Macaca fascicularis: one gene and its partner. Each later gene encodes a partner of the first gene's protein in a complex. Links are inferred from orthologs where the notes say so. Each region holds a gene or a part of one and is shown on either strand. Other genes may lie near its edges.

Evidence for each region.
Region 2: the proteins of SNTG1 (region 1) and TRPV3 are in contact, whole or in part, in a crystal structure (PDB 7QQN), measured with the Homo sapiens proteins. The link is inferred for Macaca fascicularis from reciprocal best matches to the Homo sapiens genes SNTG1 and TRPV3. Residues at the interface, in NP_001274742.1 of Homo sapiens: Arg62, Gly66, Gly67, Phe68, Gly69, Leu70, Ser71, Ile72, Lys73, Gly74, His78, Ser85, Lys86, His118, Glu119, Val122, Arg126; in NP_659505.1 of Homo sapiens: Pro786, Glu787, Thr788, Ser789, Val790.

The regions. Positions count from the first base shown.
Region 1 is NC_088382.1:60,656,018-60,666,725, reverse strand, and holds the end of SNTG1 (gamma-1-syntrophin), read right to left. Parts: intron 4,030-10,708; coding exon 3,871-4,029; 3' UTR 2,319-3,870; downstream 1-2,318. UniProt on the Homo sapiens protein: Adapter protein that binds to and probably organizes the subcellular localization of a variety of proteins. May link various receptors to the actin cytoskeleton and the dystrophin glycoprotein complex.
Region 2 is NC_088390.1:3,555,370-3,566,077, reverse strand, and holds part of TRPV3 (spermatogenesis-associated protein 22), read left to right. Parts: intron 1-1,850; coding exon 1,851-2,016; intron 2,017-5,840; coding exon 5,841-5,907; intron 5,908-7,654; coding exon 7,655-7,929; intron 7,930-9,782; coding exon 9,783-9,895; intron 9,896-10,708. UniProt on the Homo sapiens protein: Non-selective calcium permeant cation channel. It is activated by innocuous (warm) temperatures and shows an increased response at noxious temperatures greater than 39 degrees Celsius. Activation exhibits an outward rectification.

The DNA of each region.
Region 1 (10,708 bases):
ACCCAAATCTGTAAAAAGTATTTGTTTTTATTTTTCAGTATGCTTCATTTAAAAAAGTATGGTTTTATTAGTAGTACATTAATTAACTGAAAGAACGAAGTGACAAATTTTTGTCACAGATATTAATTTACATTTTACAAACATCCACCAAAACAATTAAAAATGAAATAAATATATTTACATTTTATATTTCTGGTATTTTCATTACATTTTAATGTATATAAAATATATAACATTTATAATATTTTATTTGCAAAAGCAAATTCAAATGTGCAAATAAGTGGCATTATGATTTTAAAGTATTCAGTAGAAGAATAAACAATAAAGAACAAATTTAGAGGTATGAATAAAGCAATTTCTTAAGGAGAAATTATAAGCACAGCAGTATTAATAGTAGCAAAATGTGTCTTATTAATATCCAAACGTCTACACTTACCTTAAAAAGTTAAGCACAAGATCATCCTTGTACTTTTAAAGCTTCTCCACACTGCTGATTTCTAGCAGTAATTCTAAATTATTGTTAGGATAATTAATTTTTCTCAGTAATAAATCAAGCTTTTCTTAAATCCAGCATTCAACATAGACAAAGTTCATGATCAAGCTTCAGCACTGTAAATGAGGGAAATGTTGATCTATAAACTAATGAACCCAAAGGAACATTTCTCTCCTTGCATGGCTAATACGGACTCGACATTTATTTTCAAGTAATTGCTTTCTTTTTCTTGCTGAAGGACAGCTTTATGAGAGAAGATTTCAAAATTATAAGTTGGTACACGTCTGAAATATGGGCAAGAAATAATTACCTGATTATCCTCCCATTTTAAAAAAGCTGGATAAGTGTGTTGGGGTATACATTACACATACACTAACTATTAAATTATTTTTTAAATAAATACTTGTTGCAATATAACAAATTATAAATGCCCTTTCTGTAATATGCTTCAGCTTAGATGAATTGTTATTCTTTATCAGGCAAAAGACATTGTTATAGTAGTTAGCAGTTTTCAGATGACTTTGAACTTCATTCTCTGACCTAAATAACAATATTCCCCATTAAGCTTGTGTTATGTACACCATAATGAACCATTTAATGATAACACACACACACACACACACACACTCACACATACACACATAGACACACACCCAATCACACATACATGCTCACATACACCAAGGCACTGGAGGGGTTAACACATTAGCGTTTTGCTGTTAAAATGTGCTCAATGTACAAACTAGGATTTTGTGAATAAATCTCATACATGTAAACCCAAATTATATGAGAGAGATAAATTTATATGTGTTTTTGTTCATTTCTAAGCTTTCTCATTCAAGTAGTCCAAGATATAACAAATGCCAACGACTAATCATCACATTGTAAAGAAAACATTAAACACTAATTGTTAAACTGATGAAAATGAGAATAGTATTTTGTTACTTTTTGACTGTTGTACTAATCATGTTAAATAAAAATCACGGTTTATGTTTTTTTATCAATAGTATCAAAAATAATCACAATGGTATTGTCATAAGTTTTTAATCAAACTGCATTTTACAACTTAATTTAATGTATATTAAATGTATGTACACAAAACATATTCTTTTAATATAATTAATGGTCAGCATTTGACTATATTTATATATATACACACATATATGCATATATATATGCATATGTACGTGTGTGTGTATTCTCCGAGGAGATATATATTTATACATATCTAATTGTGCACCTTTTCCTTCATAACATACATGAGCATAGACTAAATTTTCATAATATCAAAAAAATATAGCTAATAATAGATTTTTTAAATTTTGAAATTGAATGTTTACAAAATTTCACAATTTTTAAATCATTCTATTACAGGTAGGTAAACTATTGAAACTTTTTTCTTTTGCTTATGGATAATTAGCCCACGTCATATTGCCTCAGACCAGATTGTGGACACATTCATGTAACCCCAATATGGGGAACACTGAGATTCAGCTGTGGTTGGAAGCAGAAGTTCTACAATGAACCACCTGCCACAGCTGAAAATTCTAAGTTGGATGTATCCCACTGCTTTTTCTTCGTAAGTTCAGAAGTGGCCTACTACTGAAGCCTGCTTTTGGTGGGCTCCAATTTTACAATGACTGTTGTGTTTGATCAATATAGTGTGCAATCATTCTAAAGTTCTATACTAATTACAAATGTGTACTTAGTTTTATGGTCAAAATACATTACATTGAAACTGTTTATTGCAATTTGTCACAGTTCTTTGGACAAGGTATGTTAGACTCAGTTTAACATTTTCTCAGGGACAATTCTAAACCCTCACTTTTTCTTTTCAATTTTAGGTGTTTACAAATTAATCTGATGCAAAATAAATTAATGAATCATAATGAGTATAAAAACAACTAGATATTAATTTTTAAAATTAATAAATCTGTCCTTTATAGAAATCATTTTGTTTCCTTCTTGAGTGATTTTTAAAAACATATTTGGAAAAAAAGAAAATTGAATCAATTTATTAGATACTTGGTTATATCCACAAGGACACATGTAATACTTGGTTTACCTGGGAGCATGTGTACCAATAAACAAAGTTTTGTTTTGTTATTTCTTACATACACAGTTGACTTTTAAAAATATCTCAAAAAAGCTGTACTAAAGGACAGAGAATGTTTTCCATATTATACAACTAGTTGTATAATACCTGGAATCTCAGTAAATTGCACACCTCTAAGGCTTTCAAATTTCCCAGCCTTCCACATTTACATTCTTAGGACAAAATATCTAAAATAACCTGCATAGTTGACATTACTTAATCACTTTCCATGAAAAGGGAAGATAAAAATTTTTAACTTTTATCTTTAACTATCACCTTTGTTTCTAATAAAATAGTACTGAAATGGAAAAATGTCATTTAATTAGCATATATAATAGATTTGGGACTGCTTTAGAGGGACATTTTAGTTCATGATTAGCTAGTAGACTTCAGATTACAAAGAATTGCTTCTCACACCATATTTGTTTATATTATTTTCTCTACTAAAGTTTTTTGGTTCACTGAAAATTTATGAAACTTTAATTTGATAATAAATCTTCTTAGGTAAAATATAAATCTATTTAAAACCAAAGAAGAAATGAGAGGTTCATGAAATTTTCCATCACTCATAATTAAATTAATACATTATTGGCATACTTGATTGTTGGCAGCTGATAAGACATTTCAGTAACAGTGATTGAAGGGAGAATAGTCCATTCCACATTGTATCTATCATGGGTCAAAGTAATTATCCTTTCGAAGTTCTTTGGAATATTTACAATAAGATAAAAACAATTGGACTGCCAGTGTCAAATCATGGGATGAGAACACGAGGGCAAATTTACATCAGCAAATTAAAGTACATCCTTCTTTGATGTGATTTTTTTGCATGCTCCTTGCTGATTTATGGTTTTTAACTCTTTTATGTCCCTCATAATATAATGATAGGGCTTTGTTTATGACTCTGCCCAACATGTACTAGTCATACAAAATAATCTAAAATACAGAAGTAATCTTTTAATAAGTATTTTATTTATAAGTAGCTTACTATTTTTATATTACTTACATATTTCTTCAAATAATTCATTTTTGTCTCCACTTTTGGTGAAAGCAATATACTTACTGGTACAAAGCAACTGAACTTTTCATATAGTATGTTTCACAGATGTCATCCAGAATGGAAGTGTTTTTGAGGTTCCACATGACCTTCTTTTTTCTGCCAAAATTTCGATTTGCCTCCACTGCCGACTTGGTGATGTTATGGTTTCTCTAGGGTCTAAATGATGAGTAAATGTGTCCTGCTTATATAGTCATGGTGCGTGTCAATGCAGAGCTCAGTACGTCAAGTTGTATACTTTGCTTTGCTCGTGGTAGCAGAGCTGGCAGCAGCAGAAACAGTAGCTTGATTGCCTAAAAATAGAGGGTCCAAACAAGCTACCTTGGCAGCAAAGAAGGAATGAATGCAGTGAAGAACAGCAAATAAATTAGAAAATTCCAACTCCTGAAAGGGAAAGAGAAACAAGTCAGATAACAAAAAAATTAATGTCTTTAAAAATTTATAATAGCTAGATTTTAAAAAAATTTTCAATACACTTATCTAGAATCTGTGATACCTATCATATGGAAACTAATTTCAAATGTAGACATTTTTGGTCAACATGTAAACATCATAAGTATTGAAAATTTATTTCAATACATGGTGGTGGATAAGAGGTAGGGAGGACTAATCATTCTTATCATCTATGAATGTTGTTTTAGCATTGATGAATATATTTTGCCAAAATTTTACTCCTGATAATGTATAATTAAATATAAACTTGGAAGTACTTTTAAAAGTATTTTTATCTCTTTATACACACATTAGAGGATAAATATGAGTTAGAGCAATTTAAAAGTATTCTTGATTATTGTGTAGAATGAGTTAATATTTGCCATAAGAAACTGAATAAAAAAATTCTAGAAGTAAGGGGATATGAACTCTCGTAACCAGAGGATCCAAATGATTCACTTTCAAAAAATAATTCATGTATTAATTTTAATTGTGGCTGGCTGTTTAATGGTGTATGGGGCATATTTGCTAAAAAAAAATAAATAAACTAGAGCTCACTAATTCATTTTGGATTTTTAGAAATAGGTTTCCCATTAAAATACCAAAGGAAATTTGTAACCCATTTACCAGTGGCAACCAAACTATATATGTGAAAACAGAAAAAAGTTATTTCAAAATATAATTATGTCAAAATAGCTATAAAATCATAAAGCAATGCTCAGAATACATTTAGTAAGATGATGTTGCTAGTATTTTTATTAAAGACCATCAATAATCACATAAACATGTTTTAATTCCAAGGTTATTGAAAAATTAATACATTTATGTTCCTAATGAAATCAATACGATTAACTTATCACAAGGAGGATAACTAGATGGTAATAAAGAATATGAAATTTCTGATAAACTCATTGCTATTTTATTATATGTTTCACTACATATATGCAATAAAGAATATAGAATTATAATTGATATGTACATGACTGACTGTTTACAACTTATATGTGGCAGTGGAAAATATTACAAAATATTCAATACATTATGACACATTGTAACATCTGTCATGTACCAGGCAGCTATTTAAATAAAATAATTCATCTGAGGAGCATTTTCTCAGGTCAGGCAACAGGAGTACAATGAACCATAACATATATTCAGGGGTCTCTATAACATAGAAGAAATAGCTATGCTTTCTTAGTAGCTCCCTTCAAAACTTCAATATTTGATAGTTTCCTTTGTGAAACAGCAACTTGTTCTAGAGAATAGAAGAGGTTATTCATTTATTCTAATTCCCTTAGATGTTTCCACCAAAAAAGTTTTTAGTAACTCCATCATAATGATCTTAGAAGCTTTATTTATATAATAATCCACTTCATTGGCACTAGTCATATGTTATTTGTAAATAAGCAAGTTCTCTTTGCTTTAGCTCATCCTGGAAATCCGCAATTCACCCCATCATGCTTGGTGTAGCCAGGTTATTTCCCAAACAAATTTTGAATACTTTCTCTATTATCCCAAATTAAATCCACGTGATGTGAAAGGTTTGGAAATTTTGGGAAAATGTAAAATGTTCTTGCGCGTTGTTAAAAAATAAAACAACAACAAAAAAAATAAGCAATTCACTCTTGGTAAGGAGGAGAATATTGTTGAGTGTTACAAATGGGTAAAAATAGTATGGCAAATAGCTTTTTCTTAAAGGTAATTCTACCACCTCTTTATTAAAATAGAGGTTATATTTTGGTTTACCCAAAATAAACAACCCTTAAATATCTAAGTATCCAGGCATCTTTAGAAAAATGAAAATTTTCAATTATTACCACTTTGTCAATTATTTGTCAATAATTTGATATAGATTGACAGTTTAACCTTTTTATACCCGTTTTGAAGGAGTGATAGACAGGAAATAATAGCCGGTGATTAGAAGAGAAAGCAGGAGACCAAGTTGGATCCAAGTTTGGCTTTTCATTCCAATACCCACACATCTTTCCTCTTTCTCAGTGATCAGCCTTGGCAACCATTTCCACTCCTAGGGTGTCAACGATTCCTCTTATGTAAACTCACACTGCTCATTTACTAATTTCTTCTGTGAGTACTAGAACTGCATTCTTACCACCTATCAAACATCCACTGATGATGAGCATCTATCTATCCATCCACTGACAGCTTCCGCCAAGTTACAGACTTACAAGTTTCCCTTGTAAAAAAAAAAAGTCTTATGATTGTCATGATCCCTCAGATATCACTGAATATAAGCTATCTTCAAAACTGTAAAGAGTCATCCATTCAATAAAATACCAAGTCCTTCCTATGCATCCACTCTTTTTTGTTGTTAAAGTATAGCAGTGAATAAAGCAGACAAAAACAAACAAAGAAACAAAACAGTCCTGATGGGACTTACATTCCAGTGACAGGAGACAAAATGTGACTAAGGGCATAAATAAATTAAGGATAATATGCCAGAATATGACAGTTACAATCAAGAAATAAAGTGGAGGAGACAGCAAAGACTACTCAAGGGGCCGTGGGAAAGGAAAATTCATGTTGCCTTGTATATGGAACTTGAAAGGGACAAAGGAGTGAGCCATTTCCATGTTTGTGGGGAAATATTCCAGACACAAGAATTATAATTTTAAAGGCCCAGAGGTAGGGATGTTCCAGGAGAGTCTGAAGAAAAGCAAGGGCTGTTTTGTCTGAAATGGAATGAATTAAGGAGTACTTAGCAGACAATGAGATCAAAGAATACACTTAGTACGCTGCATGAGCCTTTATGAGTTTTACTATGAGCGACATGGGAAACCATGGGAAATTTTTGAGCAGATGAGTGACAAGCATTGACATAACTCAGAAAATGATGATTCTGGTTAGACTATTGAGAATAAGCTTTATGATAATTGAATTGAAAGAAGGAGGAGAAGTTACAAAGTTTCTATATGGAAATGGTTTGAATTTGGAAGTAGTTTTCAATAACTGGAAAAAAAGTGTTGCTCTGCAAATGGAGGAATTGTGGGAAAAGCAGGTTTGGAAGTAGAGATCAAGATTTTGGTTTCGGGCATGATGCATCTGAACGCATATTAGATATACAGGTGATACGTGGAGAACTGCATATATTAGTGTGGATCTAAGGGAACAATTAGAGTTTAGAATAGAAGTTCAGCTTCTGTCAGCACATAGATGGTAGGTAAAACACTGTGGTCTGGATGAGGAGATCAAGGTGTGCAGGATAGGTAGAAAAAATGACTGAGGACTCATCCCTGCGATTCCACAGTATAAAAATGTAAGAAAGATGGAGAAGAACCAGCAAAGAAGGAATAGCTGTAGTTGTGAAGAAAGTGAGAGTAAAAACCAGGAGTCTTGTAAAATGACAGCTGGAAATCGACCATTGAATTTAGCAACACAGAGGCCATTTTAATTCTTTACAAGAGTCCTTTTGTGGAGAAGTGGAAACAAAAACTTCACAGGAATGACTTAATGAGAGCTTGGGTTTGAAGGTGTTAGAGTTACTACAGGTAAGTCTACCACAGGCAGCTTCTCTTTGAAGAAGAAATCCTTCTTTTCCTTTTAAAAGGGGGCATAGGAATATATCAGTAGGAAATCAAGAATGTTTTTCCAAGGTTTATGAAATTAGTACATATTTGTTGAATTGCTGGCACGAAATAGTTGAGCTCTCAAATCTGAGGACAATTGTAGAAACCGTACTCTTGAGAAGGGTGAGATCTGGTGCAAAAGTAGAGAGGCTGGACATGGATGGAAACCTGGACAATTGATCTGAAGCGGCAGGAGGTAAAGCACAGTATATGGGCACCACTCAAGGAAGGAGGGTAGATTTGGCGGTGTGTAGCTTTCATTCATTCTGTGTTTTAAGTGGGATACAAAGCAAAGTCATATGCTGACAGGATAAAGCAGGAAGTGTTGAGAATTTGGATAAACACTAATTTATAGGTGTTATTTTAGGCACACAATCTGGAATTTATCTTCCTCATTCTGCTTGCTCCTTAAAAGTTTTTAACTCATTTATGCCTGAGACTGCAATTTTTTGAATTTTTGCAATCAGACCTTGGTGATGACCTTGAGAAGCAGAATATAAATAACTCCACATGCTTAGCATTTCAGTAATAGAACGTTAGGCATAAGTGGGTCAATAATCCTTTTTTTTTAATTATTATACTTTAAGTTCTAGGGTGCATGTACACAAAGTGCAGGTTTGTTACATATGTATACATGTGCCTTGTTGGTGTGCTGCACCCATTAACTCGTCATTTACATTAGGTATATCTCCTAATGTTATCCCTCCCCCCTACCCCTCCCCACAATAGGACCCAGTGTGTGGTGCTCCCCTTCCGGTGTCCAAGTGATCTCATTGTTCAATTCCCACCTATGAGTGAGAACATGCAGTGTTTGGTTTTCTGTTCTTGCGATAGTTTGCTAAGAATGATGGTTTCAAGCTGCATCCATGTCACTACAAAGGACACGAACTCATCCTTTTTTTATGGCTGCATAGTATTCCATGGTGTATATGTGCCACATGTTCTTACTCTAGTCTGTCACTGATGGACATTTGGGTTGATTCCAAGTCTTTGCTATCGTGAATAGTGCCGCAATAAACATACGTGTGCATGTGTCTTTATAGCAGCATGACTTATAATCCTTTGGTTATATCCACAGTAATGGGATGGCTGAGTCAAATGGCATTTCTAGTTCTAGATCCTTGAGGAATCACCACACTGATTTCCACAATGGTTGAACTAGTTTACAGTCCCACCAACAGTGTAAAAGTGTTCTTATTTCTCTACATCCTCTCCAGCACCTGTTGTTTCCTGATTTTTAATGATTGCCATTCTAACTGGTGTGAGATGGTATCTCATCGTGGTTTTGATTTGCATTTCTCTGATGGCGAGTGATGATGAGCATTCTTTCATGTGTCTGTTGGCTGTATGAATGTCTTCTTTTGAGAAGTGTCTGTTCATATCCATTGCCCACTTTTTGAAAGGGTTTTTTTTTTTTTCCTTGTAAATTTGATTGAGTTATTTGTAGGTTCTGGATATTAGCCCTTTGTCAGAGGAGTAGATTGCAAAAATTTTCTCCCATTCTGTGGATGGCCTGTTCACTCTGATGGTAGTTTCTTTGGCTATGCAGAAGCTCTTTAGTTTAATTAGATCCCATTTGTCAATTTTGGCTTTTGTTGCTGTTGCTTTTGGTGTTTGACATGAAGTCCTTGCCCATGCCTGTGTCCTGAATAGTATTACCTGGGTTTTCTTCTAGGGTTTTTATGGTTTTAAATCTAACATTTAAGTCTCTAATCCATCTTGAATTAATTTTCATATAAGAAGTAAGGAAAGGATCCAGCTTCAGCTTTCTACTTATGGCTAGCCAATTTTCTCAGCACCATTTATTAAATAGGGAATCCTTTCCCCATTTCTTGTTTCTCGCAGGTTTGTCAAAGATCACATGGCTGTAGATGTGTGGTATTATTTCTGAGGACTCTGTTCTGTTCCATTGGTCTATATCTCTGTTTTGGTAACAGTACCATGATGTTTTGGTTACTGTAGCCTTGTAGTATAGTTTGAAATCAGGTAGTGTGATGCCTCCAGCTTTGTTATTTTGACTTAGGATTGTCTTGGCAATGTGGGCTCTTTTTTGGTTCCATATGAACTTTAAAGCATTTTTTTCCAATTCTGTGAAGAAACTCATTGGTAGCTTGATGGGGATGGCATTGAATCTGTAAATTACCTTGGGCAATATGGTCATTTTCACAATATTGATTCTTCCTATCCATGAGCATGGTATGTTCTTCCATTTGTTTGTGTCCTCTTTTATTTCACTGAGCAGTAGTTTGTAGTTCTCCTTGAAGAGTTCCTTTACATCCCTTGTAAGTTGGATTCCTAGGTATTTTATTCTCTTTGAAGCAATTGTGAATGGGAGTTCATTCATGATTTGACTCTCTATTTGTCTGTTACTAGTGTATAAGAATGCTTGTGTTTTTTGCACTTTGATGTCGTATCCTGAGACTTTGCTGAAGTTGCTTATCAGCTTAAGGAGATTTGGGGTGGAGAGTTCTGCAGATGTCTATTAGGTCTGCTTGCTGCAGAGATGAGTTCAATTCCTGGATATCCTTGTTAATTTTCTGTCTCGTAGATCTGTCTAATGTTGACAATGGGGTGTTGAATTCTCCCATTATTATTGTATGGGAGTCTAAGTCTCTTTGTAAGTCTCTAAGGACTTGCTTTATGAATCTGGGTGCTCCTGTATTGGGTGCATATACATTTAGGATAGTTAGCTCTTCCTGTTGAATTGATCCCTTTACCATTACGTAATGGCCTTCTTTGTCTCTTTTGATCTTTGATGGTTTAAAGTCTGTTTTATCAGGGACTAGGATTGCAACCCCTCCTTTTTTTGTTTTGCATTTGCTTGGTAGATCTTCTTCCATCCCTTTATTTTGAGCCTATGTCTCTGCATGTGAGGTGGGTCTCCCGAATACAGCAAACTGATGGGTCTTGACTCTTTATCCAATTTGTCAGTTTGTGTCTTTTAATTGGACCACTTAGTCCATTTACATTGAAGGTTAATATTGTTATGTGTGAACTTGATCCTGTCATTATGATATTAGCTGGTTATTTTGCTTGCTAGTTGATGC
Region 2 (10,708 bases), on another chromosome or scaffold:
CACGATAGCTCGTGCTTGTAATCCCAGCACTTTGGGAGGCCAAGGTGGGTGGATCATCTGAGGTCAGGAGTTCGAAACCAGCCTGGTGAAACCCCCCTCTCTCTACAAAAAATACAAAAATTAGCCAGGCATGGTGGCATGTACCTGTAATCCCAGCTACTTGGGAGGCTGAGGCAGGAGGATTGCTTGAACCCGGGAGGCGGAGGCTGCAGTGAGCTGAGATCGTGCCACTGCACTCCAGCCTGGGCAATAGAGCGACACTACGTCTCAAAAAAAAAAAAACAAACAAAAAAAAAAACAAAACCAAAAACAAACAAAACTTAATTGTGGTAGAATACACGTAACATAAAAGTTAGCATTATAACCCTTTTTTTTTTTTTTTTTTTGAGACGGAGTCTCGCTCTGTCGCCCAGGCTGGAGTGCAGTGGCCGGATGCAAGCTCCGCCTCCCGGGTTCACGCCATTCTCCTGCCTCAGCCTCCCGAGTAGCTGGGACTATAGGCGCCCGCCACCTCGCCTGGCTAGTTTTTTGTATTTTTTAGTAGAGACGGGGTTTCACCGTGTTAGCCAGGATGGTCTCGATCTCCTGACCTCGTGATCCGCCCGTCTCAGCCTCCCAAAGTGCTGGGATTACAGGTGTGAGCCACCGCGCCCGGCCATAACCGTTTTTTAAGCATACAAATTAATACTTTGAAGTACATTCACATTGTTGGGCAGTCTTCAGACCTGTTTTTGTCCTGCAGAACTGAAACTCCATACCCATTAAACAACAGCCCCTATTCCTCTCCTTTCCTGGCCCCCTGTAACCACCATTCTTCCTTCTTTCCCTGTGAATTGGACTATTTCAGGTACCTCATATGTGGAGCCATATAGTGGAGTCATCTAGCTTATTTCATTTAGCATATATCATACTTTAAAAAGATTTAATGCCAGGCGTGGTGGCTCACGCCTGTCATCCCAGCACTTTGGGAGGCTGAGGTGGGCGGATCACCTGAGGTCAGAAGTTCGAGACCAGCCTGGCCAACATGGTGAAACCCTGTCTCTACTAAAAATACAAAAATGAGCCGGGTGTGGTGGTGGGCGCCTGTAATCCCAGCTACTAGGGAGGCTGAGGCAGGAGAATCGTTTGAGCCTGGGAGGCAGAGGCTGCAGTGAGCCGAGAAAGCACCACCGCACTCCAGCCTGGGTGACAAAGCAAGACTCGGTCTCTGCCTGCACCCCCCCAAAAAAAACACCACGATTTAAAAAGTAGGGTTTGGGGGACTTTTGTTATAATTGGCTTAAAAGTATAGATATTGGCAGTTTTTGTCATTTTGGTTAAAAATGCAATCATTTACCACATCTTTAGTCTACTCCAGTAGTTCTCAAATCGACGTGGGAATCAGAAATTATGTGGGTGATTTAGATTGTTTTTCTACTTTTTTTTTTTTTTTTTTTCTTTGTAGAGACAAGGTCTCACTATGTCGCTCAGGCTGGTCCTGAACTCCTGGCCTGAAGCGCTTCTCCTACCTCGGCCTCCCAAAGTGTTGGAATTACAGGCGTGAACCACTCCGCCAGGCCCGTGTGGGTAATTTAAAAAATATAGGGCCTCCGGGGCAGCACCCTAGAATCTTCTGCGGCCCTGTGGATGCGTGTTTTTTTTTTAAGTCCCCACCAGCTGCAATCAGCTTACCACTTGCTGTGACTGGCATCTGGTGCTGTCTCTACAGGCTGAATTCTACGGTAGCCAAATGGATCTCCGTCACTGGGATGACTGCTTAGGGGGTTTAAGGGAGGTTTGGGGGATTTGCATATCTTTGCCCTGATGCTGAGAAGTAAGTAAGGCCCGTGTTTCCTGTGTCTCCTGAACAGTTTTATCCAAGCTGTGCTTGTGATACTGTCTGTCTTCTTGTACTTGTTTGCCTACAAAGAGTACCTCGCCTGCCTCGTGCTGGCCATGGCCCTGGGCTGGGCTAACATGCTCTACTACACGAGGGGGTTCCAGTCCATGGGCATGTACAGCGTCATGATCCAGAAGGTGCGTTGGGAGCTGTGCCGGCGGGAGGGCCCTTTTTCAGATGGGGAAACTGAGATCTGGAGAGGAAGAGGGGCAGGTCACTTGCTCTTTCTCCCGAATGCCATGCGCTCCCTTTGCTTTCCGTCAGGCTTTACGTGTCCAGACCTTAAATCCCCCAGGCTTGTGGGGCGCTGGGGAGGGGTACACTTCGTGGAGGAATGTTCTCACTCCTGGGCAGTGGTGTGCTGGTAAACATTTAACAACCGCTCTGTGTGTGTGTGTGTGTGTTGTGTGTGTGTGTGTGTGGGGGTGGAATATGTATATATATACGTGTATGTACGTATACACATACACTTATCATACAGTTTACTATGTAAAGGATATGTATCACGCAATTTGAAAATAATGAAAATATACAATACAGTTTATTGTAAATTCCACGTAGCCAGTTGAGTCTTAGAATAATTTGTTGCTTTTTTTTTTTTTTTTTTTTTTTTTTGAGACTGAGTCTCGCTCTGCTGCCCAGGCTGGAGTGCAGTGGTGCGATCTTGGCTCACTGCAACCTCTTCCTCCTGGGTTCAAGCAATTCTCCTGCCTCAGCCTCCAGAGTAGCTGGGATCACAGGCATGCACCACCATGCCTGGATAATTTTTGTATTTTTATTTTTATTTTTATTTTATTTATTTATTTATTTTTTTGAGACGGAGTCTCGCTCTGTCGCCCGGGCTGGAGTGCAGTAGCCGGATCTCAGCTCACTGCAAGCTCCGCCTCCCGGGTTTACGCCATTCTCCTGCCTCAGCCTCCCGAGTAGCTGGGACTACAGGCGCCCGCCACCTCGCCCGGCTAGCTTTTTGTATTTTTTAGTAGAGACGGGGTTTCAACGTGTTAGCCAGGATGGTCTCGATCTCCTGACCTTGTGATCCGCCCGTCTCGGCCTCCCAAAGTGCTGGGATTACAGGCTTGAGCCACCGCGCCCAGCTTTTTTTGTATTTTTAGTGGAGATGGGATTTCACCATGTTGGCCAGGATTGTCTCAAACTCCTGAACAGGTGATCCACCCGCCTCGGCCTCCCAAAGTGTTAGGATTACAGGCGTGAACCACTGCGTCCGGCCTATTTGTTGCTTTTTATTGAATTCTAGTTTTTGTTGTCAACTTTTGGTTGCAATTGACAGAAGAGTGCTGTTCAGATATGAATGTTGGTTGAGATTTTTCTTTATAAGCAGTGATTAAAGTAAAACAATTAAGATTTATGTTGAACTTTACTTGTTTATCAATGATGTGAGCAACTTCTTTGCTGAATTGGATACTAGTTTGCAAATATCAGAAGAATATTCTGTTGGTATTTTTGTGCTATACACAATGTAAAGGCTGTGGACAGAACACATTTTAAATTTGATCTGGATTAATAGTTTCTCCATTACTGTCTTAAATCATTTAGATCTAGATATCAACAAAACAATGAGTCAATCAATCTCTGATTTGTGGCATTTACTAATTTTCATGATGTAAATACAGTAGCCCCGCCTTATTCTTGGGGAAAATGTTCGAAGACCCCCCATGAATGCCTGAAACTGCAGATAGTACCAAACCCTATATAATATGCTGTTTTTTCCTATACATATACATCTATGCAAATAATGAAAATATACTATACAATACAGTTTATTGTAAATTTCACTTAGCCAGTTGAGTCTTAGAATACTTTTTTGCTTTTTTTTTTTTTTTTGTGACTGAGTCTCGCTCTGTCACCCAGGCTGGAGTGCAATAGTGCGATCTTGGCTCACTGCAACCTCTGCCTCCCGGGCTCAAGCAATTCTCCCGCCCCAGCGGGACTACAGGTGTGCTGGGACTACAGGTGTGCGCCACCAGGCCCAGCTAATTTTTGTATTTTTAGTAGAGACGGGGTTTCACCATGTTGGCCAGGCTGGTCTCCAACTCTTGACCTCAGGTGATCCGCCTGCCTCGGCCTCCCAAAGTGCTGGGGGCGGGTGGGGGGAAGCAACAAATGATTTTAAGACTCAACTGGCTATGTGGAATTTATAAAATGTATTTTATAAATTAGGCACAGAGATATTAATGGCAATAACTAACAGAACAACGATAACAATACACTGTAATAAAAGTAGGTGAGTGTTGTCTCTCTCTTTCAGAATATTGTATTGTGTGTAAGATTTCTGGGTCTTAGTTGACCACAGGCAACCAAAACTGCAGAAAGTGAAATCGAAGAGAAGGGCAGACTACTGTTCTCCTCCCAGGGCCAGTTTCCAGCTACCAACATTATGTTACTGGACGTGGAGTTAGGGAGAAACATGCAGATCCACGCCACTCTAGAATTCCCGCCATATGGCTATCATAGAGATAAGTAACCTCAAAAGCACACACAATTGTAAATATAGTGAAATAACTAGACAGGGATGAGTTTTGAACATTTATTGTCTTTGTTTTATTTAATTAAATTAATTAATTAATTTTTTGAGATGGAGTCTTGCTCTGCCTCCCAGGCTGGAGTGCAGTGGCACGATCTAGGCTCCTTGCAACCTCTTCCTCCTGGGTTCAAGCAATTCTCCTTCCTCAGCCTCTGGAGTAGCTGGGATCAAAGGTGAGTGCCACCTTTGTATTTTTTTTTTTTTTTTGTATTTTTGTATTTTTAGTAGAGACGGGGTTTTGCCATGTTGGCCAGGCTGGCCTCCAACTCCTGACCTCAGGCGATCCACCCACCTCGGCCTCTCCAAGTGTTGGGATTATAGGCTTGAGTCATTGCGCCCGGCTTGTCTCTGTTTTAAATATAACTTACTTTATTTAATTGTAAGTTTTATATGGTTTAATTTTTTGGCAATACAAATAATAATTTATCCTCAACTTTTTTTTCTTTTTTCTTTTTTTTTTTTTTTGAGATGGAGTCTTGCTCTGTCGCCCAGGCTGGAGTGCAGTGGCACAATCTCAGCTCACAGCAAGCTCCGCCTCCCGGGTTCACCCCATTCTCCTGCCTCAGCCTCCTGAGTAGCTGGGACTACAGGTGCCACCACCACACCCGGCTAATTTTTTGTATTTTTAGTAGAGACAGAATTTCACTGTGTTAGCCAGGATGGTCTTGATCTCCTGACCTCATGATCCGCCCGCCTTGGCCTCCCAAAGTACTAGGATTACAGACATGAGCCTCTGCGCCCGGCCTTATCCCCAACTTTATTGAGGTATAGTTGACATATATAATTGTATAAATTTAAGATATACAATGTGAGGATTTGATATAGGTATATATTATGAAATGATTCCCAATTTCAAATTAGTTAACATACCCATCGCCTCACATAGTTGCCATTTCTTTGTGGGGTGAGAACATTTGTGATCTATTCTCTTAGCAAATTTCTAATCCACAACACAGTATTAACTACAGCCATCATGCTGTCCATTAGATCCCAGAACTTATTCATCGTATAACTGAAAGTTTGATTTAGTTCTGAATAATGGCTGTGTTTAACAACCAGCTCACAAGCTTCATGAGAAGTTAACAGCTATTGCGAGCTGTTGTGAGCTGGCTCCAGCATGCCACTGCCCCCAGGAATGTGAGGCTTCCAGATGTGAGACCCTATGGTGAAAGGCACAGGGTGAATCACAGGGAGAAGAGAACCTGGGGCTAGAGCAGAAACAGAAGGCTTCCTGGAGGAGGTGGGATTCAGAGCTGAGTGTTGGAGCATCAGGAGGATTTGGCTGGGGGAAGGGAGAGTGGCCTAAGTGAGTGAGGAGATGGTTAGGGGGGAGGTGGGAGAGGGTGGGAAGCAGGAAGATCAGGGGACCGTGAATATGTGCTTATATCTTACTCTTGAATTATGTTTATTTCTTTGTAGGTCATTTTGCATGATGTTTTGAAGTTCTTGTTCGTATATATCGTTTTTTTGCTTGGATTTGGAGTAGGTAATTGATTTATAAATGATAGTAACTCCCACATTTATAAACACTTTATTCAGATGTCAAAATGACAAAGCACATGGTGGCCTCAGCAGCAATTAGACCAGCTACCAGTGGGGCACCTGCCAAGCTTGGCATTTTCCAAGCATTACCTTTTTACTTCTCTCAACAACTTGATCAAGTGGGAGTCGTCGCCCCGATCATAAGATAGCTGAGGCTTAGAGACTCCGGAATTTGAACCAGGCCAGCCACTCATAATCCAGCTTCACTGTGTGGTGTACACCTCTGGCTTTCCCATTCATTGCTTATGTGGCCCTCATGACCTAAGACAGGTCCTGCAAGTGTTTTCAGCCTCATTTTACAGATGGGGAAACTAAAGTCCACAGAAACTCGACTCTTGGTCTTTGCAAAGTAGGAGCAAAGTAATGCCCTGAGGCAACTTCCTTTGGGTTTCACATCATGTTGCTCTCACAGTTTGCTTTAGATATAACTGTGAGAGCCTCTCTGGTCTGCTGGGACCAGGAAGGAGCCCCCCCTCTTAAAATCTCTCCATGTACGACAGAGGGAACAGCACCATCTGGTTGTATTTCTAAGCTCTGCATAGAGAGATCGTTTCCCCCCACATACCAGTTGCTTTTTTTTCTTTTCTTCAGTGACCATTGACATTTGAAATTAGGTAGCTGTGTCCATCTGTCTGGTACCTTTTCTGGGTCACAATTTGCTTATTTATTTGCTCCTTCACCTGCTTGTTTATTAATCCATCTATTTACTCTCTCATTTAATTTGCTCATCCACCTATCTATCCATCTATCCATCCATCTATCCATCCATCCATCCATCCATCCATCCATCCATCCATCCATCCATCCATCTATCCATCCATCCAATCATCCATCCATCCATTCATCCATCCATCTAATCATCCATCCATCAATCCATCCATCCATCTAATCATCCATCTATCCATCCCTCCATCCATCCAATCATCTATCCATCCATCCATCCAATCATCCATCCATCCATCCATTCATTCATCCATGCAATCATCCATCTAATCATCCATCCATCCATCCGTATCCATCCATCCATCCATCTATCCAATCATCCATCCATCCGTCCCTCCCTCCCTCCATCTATCCAATCATCTATCTATCCATCCATCTAATCACTCATCCATCCATCCATCCATTCATTCATCCATGCAATCATCCATCTAATCATCCATCCATCCATCCATCCATCCATATCCATCCATCCATCCATCCATCCATCCATCCATCCATCCAGCAGTGAACCTCTATTGTGGTGTGTTGGAAAGAAGGGAAGTGTGAGCCTGGTCTTGCTCATGGGGAACTCACAACAGAGCATTAGGAGGAGACTCAGGATCTTACAGCCTTGAGGGAAATGACTCAGGCTAGAGGAAGTCAGGAGCTCAAAGACTAGCTGGGGAGCCAGGGACACACACGTGGATTATAATTAGCAACTCTGCAAGGCTGGAAGTGATCAAGGGCCGACTGTGGGGTAGAGGAAGGAGAGAAGACTCTGGGCTTTGTTAGGTGGAAGGGCTTTCTGCAGGAGGCCAGGGCAGAGAAGCCAGCCTGATGAGGCTTTGGGAGGACCTGAAGCTGGAGATGGGATTTAATGGCCAGAGAGAAGGAGGCAGCAGGCTTGTCGTGTGGGCAAATACACGCAAGCTTGTAGAGTAATTCACCAGGCGGAGAGCTGAGGAGAGCACCCTGTTATGTTCCCCTAGCCCTGGCCTCACTGATCGAGAAGTGTCCCAAAGACAACAAGGACTGCAGCTCCTACGGCAGCTTCAGCGACGCGGTGCTGGAACTCTTCAAGCTCACCATCGGCCTGGGTGACCTGAACATCCAGCAGAACTCCAAGTATCCCATTCTCTTTCTGTTCCTGCTCATCACCTACGTCATCCTCACCTTCGTTCTGCTCCTCAACATGCTCATTGCCCTGATGGGCGAGACTGTGGAGAACGTCTCCAAGGAGAGCGAGCGTATCTGGCGCCTGCAGGTGAGTCTAGGTGGAGACCCCAGTGTGGGGGCCTCCATGGGATTCAGTTCAGCACATGGTCATTGACTACTGTCAGCACCAGTGGGTCTGTGGTGGGGCCTGAGAATCTGCACAAGCTGCTCAGTGTGTGGCCAGGATTGAGGAAGCCTTAGCCTAGGTTCTTTGAGTGTAGGGTCTACGAAGTGTGGCTGTGCAACGGCATGTGTAGAAAAACTCAGGCTTACAGGGGTGCTGTGCTCAGGGTTGACAGTGTGATTGATGGATGTTGAAGTATGACCTTAGGTTGTATTAAGAGGAGTACAGCGCCTAGGACAATGGAGGTGACAGTTCTGCTCTATTCTATCCTGGCCTGAACACTTCTTACGTGCTGAGGAAACCAATGCATAGGATGGGTCCCGAGGTGGTAACCAGGTTTGGGAGAGGACTGGAGACTGCCTCTTAAGAAATAGTTGTTGGCGGCCAGGCATGGTGGCTCACCCCTGTAATCTTAGTACTTTGGAAGGCTGAGGCAGGTGGATCACCTGAGGTCAAGAATTTGAGACCAGCTTGGCCAACCTGGTGAAACCTCATCTCTACTAAAAATACAAAAACTTGCCGGGTGTGGTAGTGGGCGCCTGTAATCCCAGCTACTCAGGAGGCTGAGGCAGGAGAATCGCTTGAACCCAGGAGGTGGAGGTTGCAGTGAGTCGAGATCATGCCATTGCACTCCAGCCTGGGTGACAGAGCGAAAACTCTGTCTCAAAAACAGAAAAAGAAATGCTTATTGATAAAGGTGAGAGTGCCTTCAGATATCTACAGAGCAACCTGTGAAACAGGGAGCAGACCCCTTCTGTGGTCCCAGAAGGCAGAGGTACATGGGGGTGCTACAGGGAGAAAAACTTTGATGCGACACATGGAAGTTTCTCATTATTAAGGCCCTCCTTTTTTTTTTTTTTTTTTTTTTTGAGACAGGGTCTTGCTCTGTCGCCCAGGCTGGAGTGCAGTGGCGTGATATCAGCTCACTGCAACCTCTGCCTCCCGGGCTCAAGCGATTCTCCCACCTTAGCCTCCCAAATAGCTGGGATTACAGGCACGCGCCACCACACCTGGGTCATTTTTGTATTTTTTTTGTAAAGATGGGGTTTCACCATGTTGCTCAGGGTGGCCTCATACTCCTGAGCTCAAAGCGATTCACCTGCCTCAGCCTCCCAAAGTGCTGGGATTACAGGTGTGAGCCACTGTACCTGGCCAAGGCCCTCTTAATTGGTTTGTTGATACTACTCAAGAGAGACTGGAAAAATTATGGCCAGGAAACAGCAGAGAGGTTCCAAGCCTGGGAGGGGGTGGGACTGAATGATGTTCGAATGGTCCTTTGCCATGGGATTCCAGGACCTCAGCCCTGTCAGATAGGAAGCTCCTGGGCTTTCAGAAATACTATTTATATCGTGGAGTGTCGCTCTGTCGCCCAGGCTGGAGTGCAGTGGAGGGATCTCAGCTCACTGCAACCTTCAACCCCTGGGTTCAAGTGATTCTCCTGCCTCAGCCTCCTGAGAGCTGGGATTACAGACGTCTAACGCAGGCCCAGCTAATTTTTGTGTTTTTAGTACAGACAGGGTTTCACCATGTTGGCCAGGCTGGCCTTGAACTCCTAACCTCAGGTGATCCACCTGCCTTGGCCTCCCAAAGTGTTAGGATTACAGGTGTGAGCCACCGCGCCTGGCCTGCTTTTTGTCTTTGAATTCTGTAGATCAGCCAAACCCTTCCGATCCGTTAAGCATGGGGCGAGGGGGGAGTGGGCTCACTGACAGTGTGTGTGCACTTGTGTGTGCTTGTGAGTGTGAATGCCTACTCCTTAGACTTGCTTATGTCCCCAGAGAGCCAGGACCATCTTGGAGTTTGAGAAAATGTTACCAGAATGGCTGAGGAGCAGATTCCGGATGGGAGAGCTGTGCCGAGTGGCCGAGGAAGATTTCCGACTGTGTTTGCGGTAACCAAGGGGGAAGGGCCCTGGGGCTGTGGTCTTTGGGGTGGGCAGAGAGGGGCAGGTCAGTGACAAGATGTTAGAGAAACGGTGCCGCTGCTTGCTCACCATAACCACAGCTGCTGTCTCTCCCAGTGGCCTCCTCGGAAGAAGGAATTTGCTTATGGGGTTATAGGGCCCTGGGATGGGGGTTCCCGAGCTTCAGAAGAGAAAGAGAAGGAGACTGCCAACAGTGGCTCCCCTCCCTGCTTTTTTTTTTTCTTTTTTTTCTGTTTTTGAGACAGAGTTTTGCTCTTGTTGCCCGGGCTGGAGTACAATGGCACGATCTTGGCTCACTGCAACCTCTGCTTCCTGTGTTCAAGCAATTCTCCTGCTTCAGCCTCTGAGTAGCTGGGATTACCGGCATGTGCCACCACACCCAGCTAATTTTGTATTTTTAGTAGAGGCAGAGTTTCACCACATTGGTCAGGCTGGTCTCGAACTCCTGACCTCAGGTCATCCACCCACCTCGGCCTCCCAAAGTGCTGGGATTACAGGCGTGAGCTACCACGCCCAGCCCCTCTCTCTGCCTTTTTGAAGGTGCCTCCGAGGTCTCTCTCTGTTTGCTATCTGGTTTAGGGAAGATCTGCCTGCTTGGCACTCCTTTTCCTGCTGTTTACCTGTGTGAGTTCCTGTGACCCCAGGTGACTTGAGTCCCATTTTGCCCCTGGCAGATGGAAAGTGACATGGCTACTTTGACAGATCTCTGGCTTTTTGATTTTTTTTTTTTTTAAAGTCCTTACTTATCCCATGACCACCTTTTCTCCTTCCTTCCTTCCT